Linked DNA regions of Nothobranchius furzeri. The protein of the gene in region 1 purifies or fractionates together with the protein of each later gene. This does not show direct contact. Links are inferred from orthologs where the notes say so. Each region holds a gene or a part of one and is shown on either strand. Other genes may lie near its edges.

The links.
Region 2: the proteins of cdk20 (region 1) and fkbp8 purify together in Homo sapiens (affinity purification with mass spectrometry; 5 studies listed by BioGRID and IntAct, with this or other methods). This does not show direct contact. The link is inferred for Nothobranchius furzeri from reciprocal best matches to the Homo sapiens genes CDK20 and FKBP8.

What each region holds. Positions count from the first base shown.
Region 1 is NC_091755.1:47,133,909-47,138,365, reverse strand, and holds the start of cdk20 (cyclin-dependent kinase 20), read left to right. Parts: upstream 1-1,645; 5' UTR 1,646-1,668; intron 1,669-1,971; coding exon of another isoform or gene 1,972-2,057; exon of another isoform or gene 2,058-2,235; intron 2,236-2,597; exon of another isoform or gene 2,598-3,103; intron 3,104-3,183; 5' UTR 3,184-3,218; coding exon 3,219-3,293; intron 3,294-3,384; coding exon 3,385-3,498; intron 3,499-3,927; coding exon 3,928-4,116; intron 4,117-4,316; coding exon 4,317-4,438; intron 4,439-4,457. Other genes in the region: protein UXT, read right to left, coding at 1-7, 273-336, 500-607, 746-813, 1,250-1,331, 1,972-2,057. UniProt on the Homo sapiens protein: Required for high-level Shh responses in the developing neural tube.
Region 2 is NC_091748.1:52,427,033-52,431,294, forward strand, and holds the start of fkbp8 (peptidyl-prolyl cis-trans isomerase FKBP8), read right to left. Parts: upstream 3,069-4,262; 5' UTR 2,937-3,068; intron 2,444-2,936; 5' UTR 2,413-2,443; coding exon 2,187-2,412; intron 1,987-2,186; coding exon 1,817-1,986; intron 1,644-1,816; coding exon 1,555-1,643; intron 1,055-1,554; coding exon 834-1,054; intron 696-833; coding exon 523-695; intron 444-522; coding exon 366-443; intron 1-365. UniProt on the Homo sapiens protein: Constitutively inactive PPiase, which becomes active when bound to calmodulin and calcium. Seems to act as a chaperone for BCL2, targets it to the mitochondria and modulates its phosphorylation state.

The DNA.
Region 1 (4,457 bases):
GCAAACCCTGAAGGCAGAGGAAGAAGATAGCAGCCAATCAGACACCTCATCTGGAGGATCAGGGTTCTCCGTGGTTCCACGATGAACACATCTGATTTTAGAGGAGAACGTCCCTCTCCATCAGCACCAACTCACCTCGACGCTACCGGACCGGCTCTACTTCAGATCTTACCGAGTCTCTGACTCGCTTTGACTTATAGAAGATCAAACACTCAGCAGAAAAACTCAAATCAAATATTAAAGAGCTTCAGATCATAGACATAATAACTGACCTCAAGGACCATGCGGATGTTGGCTTTTATTTTGGCGGCGTCTTTAGTGAGTTGCTCTGTGAAGCTGCAAAACAAGCGTTAGCATGGTTAGCATCTTTGGTTCCGAACATTGAGCTAACACAGCACTCGTTCAAACTCCCTCAACTTTATTTAGAACTAGATCTCAGCTCGACAAAAATGAGACGTGTGACAAAAAGTTTGTGTTGTCACGGCAACACAGAGCTCACACTGTCAGCTGACTCGTCTTCTTGGTGATGAACTGCAGAGCTTCATCGTGGGTCATTTCCACGAAGAACCCGAAACCGACCGCCACGAAGATCCTGGACGAGTCGTCTCTGTCCAAAGGAGGGGAACAACGGGTCAGAACCGGGACCAAACACAACCAAACTGCTCAGAACCAGAACCAAACATCTAAAAGAGGTTAAATGTCTGTGGAGGGAGGAGCTGGACACTCTAGAGAGACAGACACTCACACTTGAGCCTGAACATAGAAGCTGCAGCCCAGATCGACGTCTGTCTTCAGCTGCTGGGACTCCGCCTCCTGCAAGAACACGGAGTGACATAACCGCAACGTCATCATCATGATATAAACATATATAAATATATACACACACACAAAATTCTATCACAAACAAACAGGCGTTTCTGATTGACAGCACGAGGCCTAAAGAGCTCAGGTTACTGGTCTGTTGTTGGATCGGGCCTGAACAGAACTCCTGATCCAGAACACACAGCTCCGCTGGATTTTCATCAGCAGTTAAAAGGTTTCCAGAGATTAAAACATGGCGGATGTTAGCTGAAAATATTTCAAACAACTGAAAAAAATCCTAGAGGAGGCCCTATGATCCTCCCAGAGTGATGCCTCCCTCCTTAAAATCTCTCTCTCTCTCTCTCTCTCACACACACACACACACATACACACACACACACACACGCACGCACGCACACACACACACACACACACACACACACACTACCTGCAGACTCTGGATCGTGTTCTTCAGCTGCAGGTACTGGGAGATCTTCTCATAAACCTGGTCTCTCTGCTCCAACACCTTCCTGTCAAACAGAACACCTTCATCAGTGTGTGTGTGTGTGTGTGTGTGTGTGTGTGTGTGTGAGGTGTCAAAATAGAGTATTTGAAATGAGTTTGCAATCATTTTCTGACTGTTCTATTGGATAAGAACCACACCAGGGATCCGTGGTTCTCCAGGACCCACTCTCTGGTTCTCCTTCACTGGATCTTTTTGGTTGGTTCTGATTCCACAGACCAGAACATCATCCGACTCTGTGGACTCACCACCGCAGTTTGACTTTTGTTCTGGTCGCTCAGATGAAGCGTCAACTTCTCTAGCCGGATAGACCCCGCCCTCTGGGGGGCTGCCATGGTAACCAGGTACCAGTCACTGGTCATAGTGATTGTCACAAATGTGTTTAATACAACTTTATGATTTACGTTTAAAGAACTTAACCTGTACTATAATGATCGTGTCTGTAGAGACATAAACATCGCATCAAAACTTAACCGGAAACTGCTTAGATTCATCAGAACCCAGCACCAACTTTTATTTACCTGCTTCAAGCTAGAGCTACCAACCCTGCCCTAACTAAACCAGGATCTGTGAAACTACTCAGAATTCAAAACCAAACAGAGGAGCAGAGCTGAGAAACTAAATCAACTATACGAGTTAAATCGTACCGTAAATCTCTCTTCAGAACCTCGTTGATGAACGTTTCGTACTGCAGAACCTTCCGGTCCACGTTTTCAGCGACAGGTTCCTCCATGCAGCTTTTCAGATTAATAACAACAATAATAACTTCATGCGGATTAATTCAGTTCAGATGAATTTCTGCTCAATGTAAATTAACCGTTTCGGACACAAAAACGTGCCGTTAGCACAGCTAGCATGCCAAGCTAGCATGTAAATAATTCTTTACACCGGAACTAAATCATTGAGTGCCCCCAAATTTTCAAAATAAAGCATGTAGACATAAAACAGATAGATGCATTAGACGAAGACGCTCCAGACTGATTATATATATATATATATATATATATATATATATATATATATATATATATCAAGACTCAAGACAACTTTATTAGTCCCCGAGGGGCAATTCGAGACAGCATTGTGAAGCAGCCGGCACTAAAATCTCTAAATTCTAAAAACACATCCAAATTACACATTTGTAAAACCCATAAAACCTATATACACATTCATGTCATAACCCCATACATATATATTTATATATATATATATATATATATATATATAATTTATTTATTTAATTTTCACTTCTGACTGACATGTGAGTCTTTTCTAGCTGATTTGGATCTGTGTCGTGACTTCCGTTGTCACGTGACCGTAGCTAACGCAGCTCTTGTCTGAAACAAAACGTTTTCAAACGTTTCAGGCCCGAAAACCGGATCTCCTCGCCGCGCTTTCAGGCTTGAACGACTATCAGGAAACATTTCTGCTCGAATTGAAATTATTTCGACGGTTTCATTAAGCCATAGGAGCTAACTTAGCTTAGTGGTGACGTTACCATGGCAACACGAGTTAGCATCCTCTGTAAAATTCGGATCCAATTGAAATCGAGCTGATTTATGTATAATCTCAGAACCCGAATAAAACTTACGACCTTTATTTCAGTTATCGTTCCGTAATATTTCAGAAACGTTGGTGTTTTATTGAACTGAAACGCGCAAAATCGTAAACGGCGTCTTTTGTACACGGAGCTTTGTTTCCGGTCTGAATTCTGGCTCCTGTCGGTCAGCTGGAGGAGGTAAAAGAAGCTCTGGGAGGTGTTTTCTTTCTCAAAAAGAGGTCACCTATATCTTATTTAGTTTAATGTTACAGCTTGAAGTTTTAATGTGGAATCAGATGAAAAATTGGTCTTCCTGCAGAAATCAGCAGACCGGATCAGGTTCTTGTCCCAGACATGGAGCAGTACAGCATCCAGGGTCGGATCGGAGAAGGAGCTCACGGCATTGTGTTCAAGGCCAAACACATTGAGGTACCGATAGCAAAAGATCCAGCCTCTGGGTCTGGTTCCAGGTGCAGAGCAGTTCCTCCTCAGAATGTTCGTCTTGTGCCTTTTCTCTCAGACAGGAGAGACGGTGGCTCTGAAGAAAGTGGCTCTGAGGAGGCTGGAAGACGGCATCCCGAACCAGGCTCTGAGGGAGATCAAGGCCCTGCAGGAGATTGAGGACAACCAGTATGTGAGTGTCCCTCCAGCTGCTTCTGCCCAGTTCAGAGGACAGCGAGGTGTCAGACCTGATGCTACTGAAATGCCACAAACTGGTGTTCGTGATGGTGTCAGAACCACAGTCCTGAATCCACCTGATCTGCAGGCCATTCCTCACAAAGCTATTTGCCAAATTAACAGATTTCCATGATTTTACGTTCTCTATTCCTCCTTCTGAGGAGACGAGGAGGAGCATCACAGAGATCTGGGGGGCTGGTAAGTGCCTGGTTGCCCAGATCTGCTGTTGGTTTTAAGTCTGAGCAGAAATCTGGTTCCATTACAGCACCACACCTGGTGGACCCTCGGTGCTCAGCTTCAGCTGCTTTGATAAAAAAAACCTGCAGATGTTTTGTTGGGAATGATTCAATCTTCCTTTTGGGAACGTTGTCCTGAACTCTTCCAGGTTGTGAAGCTGAAGGACGTCTTTCCCCACGGGACGGGCTTTGTTCTGGTCTTTGACTTCATGCTGTCGGACCTCTCTGAGGTCATCAGGAACCACCAGCGACCTCTGACCCCGGCACAGGTCAAGGGGTACATGATGATGCTGCTAAAGGGCGTGGCCTTCCTGCATCGCAATAACATCATGCACCGGGTGAGTGCACTGCTCACACACACGCACACACACACACACACACACACACACACACACACACACACACACACACACACACACACACACACACACACACACACACACACACAGTCCACGGCCCATAAGGGTTTGTGATTCTGGTTCTGGTGTGTGTGTGTGTGTGTGTGTGTGTGTGTGTGTGTGTGTGTGTGTGTGTGTAGGACCTGAAGCCAGCTAACCTGCTCATCAGCTCCTCGGGTCACCTAAAGATCGCCGATTTCGGTCTCGCCAGGCTGTTCAGCGATCAAGGCGAGAGGCTTTACAGCCACCAGGTGGCCACCAGGTAAGCACAAGCTCCGCCC
Region 2 (4,262 bases), on another chromosome or scaffold:
CAGGATAATGCACCATGTCATAAAGCTCCAATCATCTCAGACTGATTGTTTGAACATGACAATGATTTCACTGTACTTAAATGGCCTCCAGTCACCAATCTTAATCCAATAGAGCACCTTTGGGATGTGGAACAGGAGATTCGCATCATGGATGTGCAGCCGACAAATCTGCAGCAACTGTGTGATGCTGTCAGGTCAATATGGACCAAAACCTCTGAGGAATGTTTCCAGTACCTTGTTGAATCTATACCACGAAGGATTAAGGCAGTTCTGAAGGCAAAAGGGACCTGGTACTAGCAAGGTGTACACAATAAAGTGGCCAGTGAGTGTAGTTTACCAGACGTTTTATAAAAGGCCAAATGTACCTTGTTGCTTGGTTCCAGCTTCAGAGCCTTCCGTAAAGTTTGAATGGCTTCTGTGTATTCAGCCTGCAGAGCCAGAACCTAAAGCAGAAACACACAGCAGGCAACAGGTTAGAGGAGTCTGAGAAACACAACATGAAAGAATCAGAGCAAAGAGCACCTTGCCCATTCGAAAAAGTGCTTTAATATTCTCTGGTTGATGTTCAAGTGCTGAAACACAAGACTTCAGTGCTGCGTCATAGTGGTCCAGCTTCAGCTGAGAAGCAGCCATGTTGTTTAGACACTTTACTTTGACATCCAACAGCTCGTTCTCCTCCTCGGGGCTGATGTCAACTGCTCAAGGAAACATGATAAACAGTTAAGAGTCCTTATGTATCAAAATAAGAAAAATCAACTGTTAGTATCTTGTTAATATCTTTTCTTTTAGAAGGAAATATAAAGCTTTGCCTGACTCCTGCACATGCTTCTTACCTTTGGAACAAGAATCAGTAATCTGCAGGGCAACGCCATATGAGTTGACTGCAAAAGCATAATCCCCACGTTGGTAGTGAACATTCCCCCTCTCCCTCTTCTGAACAGCCAGGGCTATTTTCTCCGAGGGAGGAAGCAGCTCCAAGTCAGGTGCATCTGTAGCCTCCAACAGCTCCACCTCTAAGGAAAGCTCAGCATTTGGCGGAATGTCAGGATCAAGACTAGGAAGTGAAGGACGCAGGAGACAGAGTCAGGGACACCAGCCGTAGGAGACAGTTCACAGATATTACTGTCATGTTTCCTTCTTTTTCAGCAACCAAATGCAGGCACATTTACTGAGCACAGTGTTAGGAGGAGACACACTGGTAAATATAGCTTTAAAGGCATAGCTTCAGAGCAAATATGAACCGATATTGTTATTATCCACAGGCTTGATCTTCCTCACCACACCATTGTTTTAAGTGTTGGCTTAATAAAACTTCTAATCTTTGAAGAAACCACAAACATCCCAGACTCATTAAGCATTAATTCAACAATCAGCTGTCGGGGACAACTGTGAGCATCTCTCTCCTGCAATGTCCAATTCTTTAATATTTCCTCAAAACATCTCTGGTTTGAAAACTGTGACGTGAAAGTCATGTCTACATTTTGAACTAATAACACTAGATATAATGGCCCTAACGTGGCAGACTGTTCAGGAGCATTTCAAAATGTTTCCTACCTTCCTCGGACACCGTATGCGTATTTTGCATCTGTCTGGATGAGTGCTTTCTCTCCAATTTCCATAAGCTGCACTGTCAGATCCAGTGCCTAAATAGATTAAAGTGTTTTTTGCTTTAATGACTTACATGCAAATTTAACACACACACACACACATATATATATATATATATATATATATATATATATATATATATATATATATATATATATATTATTAAAAACCTATTCAACCAATCATCTGAGTTTTTCTTTTTCTTTACCTGGATGACATCACCATCTCCCAGAGTGAAAGCGAGATCACATAGCTCCTGTGCAAGTGTACCATCCATCAAGTGTGTTTTAAGATGGATCTTTACGACCTGTCCTTTGTGAGGCCGACTGTCACGTCCCTTCCCTGCTTCAAGGACCTTTTTCTTCAGCTGGTCGTTACCTAACAGCAGATAGATCTGTTTATAAAATTGGTTACATATAACGGAACCATTAAATGTTCATAACTATACAGTAATGGAATTCTAGCTTCTGCTGTGAATGCCACTAAATATTTGGAAAACATACAAACAACATACAAATGCAAACTATTAGCATGTTGTCTGTAAGAATGTGTCTGGTTTTGTCACATTTCCCTCATACCTAAAACATCTAGCCATTCATCAATGTTGCCAGAAGGTTCTGGATCTTCAACCCTTTTCTTTTCTGCATCTTCTGTTTTTTTACTGTTTCCACCCCCGGCATCTTCCAGAGGAGGAAGGTCGTCATAAATGTCTTCATCACACAACACCTCAAAGTCCTCCCCGCTGTCCAGCAACGAGGTTTGTCCATGCTTCTTAGCAGCAGGAGGTCCAGCTGAAGACTCCATTCTCAAACGTGTTCAGTCCTCAGCACATCACCTGATTAAGGAAAACAGAAAACAGCTTGAAGTGATTCACTTTCTGTGAAAAGTAAAACTGTGTATGTGCTGAATCCTAGTGAGGAAAAAAAGCCTTCAACTATGTGCAAGTCGACGTTAAACACTGTGATAGGTCACATGATGATAGCTACACAACTGTTTACCCAACACCTCCTTTAACGTCTATTTATTATTTTTAATTTTAGCAAACAATGTGGCAACATTTCGCAAATTTAATTATTACGCTACCTGTTAACTGTTGTGCCCTGACAAATCTAGCAAGAAGTTTTAACAAGTTTTCCTCCAGCTAAATGCCCAAGCGGCTAGCATGCTACTGCTAATGCAAGTAGCATTAGCCGGTTAAGCAATACAGGTACTAAACGATAATAACGAGTTTTTACTCTATTATACGATAAACCATTGGGTTTATCACGTCAATGCAGTGAGAGTGGGTCAAAGTGTATATGCGTTAATCGAAATAAAGTACAACAAACCTCCAAGTGGGCTTGTTTCGGTCCTGAGCTGTCCCTTCGTTAAACTCAAAGTGAAGTCAGTTCAACGTTGTACTGATGTGTCGGTAGTGAACGAACTGGCTCTAAGAGCCGGCTCTTTGAAGTGAACGACGGGAGCCGGCTCGTCATTGGGAGCCGTCCCCTCCCCTTTTGCTTTGGTGAACGCCACAGGCAATTGGTCAACATGTGTAACTGCGTGTCCAGACTGTCCACACACAGAGCAGTAGGGGCGGGGAAGAGGGAGGATCAGACTCAGACACACAGCAGAGCACATGCGGGTGGAGGGAGACGAGAGGGAATGAGGAGGAGGAAAAAGGCGAGAGAGAGAGAGAGAGAGAGAGAGAGAGAGAGAGAGAGAGAGAGAGAGAGAGAGAGAGAGAGAGAGAGAGAGAGAGAGAGAGAGAGAGAGAGAGAGAGAGAGTGCGGCAAAGACGGTGAGAAAATGAGCGCCAGCAGTCAGAAAGTGGAGATTTCTTAAAGTGTTCAGTTATTAAATCCATTCAAATGATAAATAGTTTATATATTGCAATTTTTTACATTAGTAAATCATGTTACATATATTTTAGCATTTTTTTTGGTTATAAATATACTCTACGCAACAGAAAATGTGAGGAGCCACTTGGGAGCCGAAAGAGCCGGCTCTTTTTGGTGAGCTGAGCCAAAAAGACCGGCTCTCTAAAAAGAGCCGGAATTCCCATCACGTCGTTGTGAGGCGGAGGACCCAAAAAATAAAAAAAAAGTACGCGTGTTGATATGTTCAGCAGCAAGCGAACTTCAGCCCTGTGCTTCCTGTTAACCTTGAGCTCCCCCTTGGTGCAAGTTAATATTTTACCTCACTAACATGGAAACGACAGCAGTTTGGAGTTTCTAGTAATTTTCCTTAATTAAAAAGGTAAAAGTAGATAATAATAATAATAATAATAATAATAATAATAATAATAATAATAATAATAATAATAATAATAATAATAATAATAATTAGAAGAAGAAGAAAAAGAAGAAGAAGAATAGATGACTGAATTTTTGTTATTTGTAAAGGGACATTGCATACTAATGAACATTTACATATTTCATGTAGGTAAATATGCATTATTTTAGCCCGGGTTAATTTCCAGCAGTAAATGTTAAATAAATGTAACATTATTTTGTCCAATTTGATTATGTTAATAAAATATTCTCAAAGCATATGGACACGTTTTTAATCATGCTCTGCAACATGAAATTTCAAAACCCGCGTCAACGCCAAAATCCCAATTGCCTTTCTCTATAGTTGAAAACATTTGACAGCGTGAACTGAATCTTTGGCTT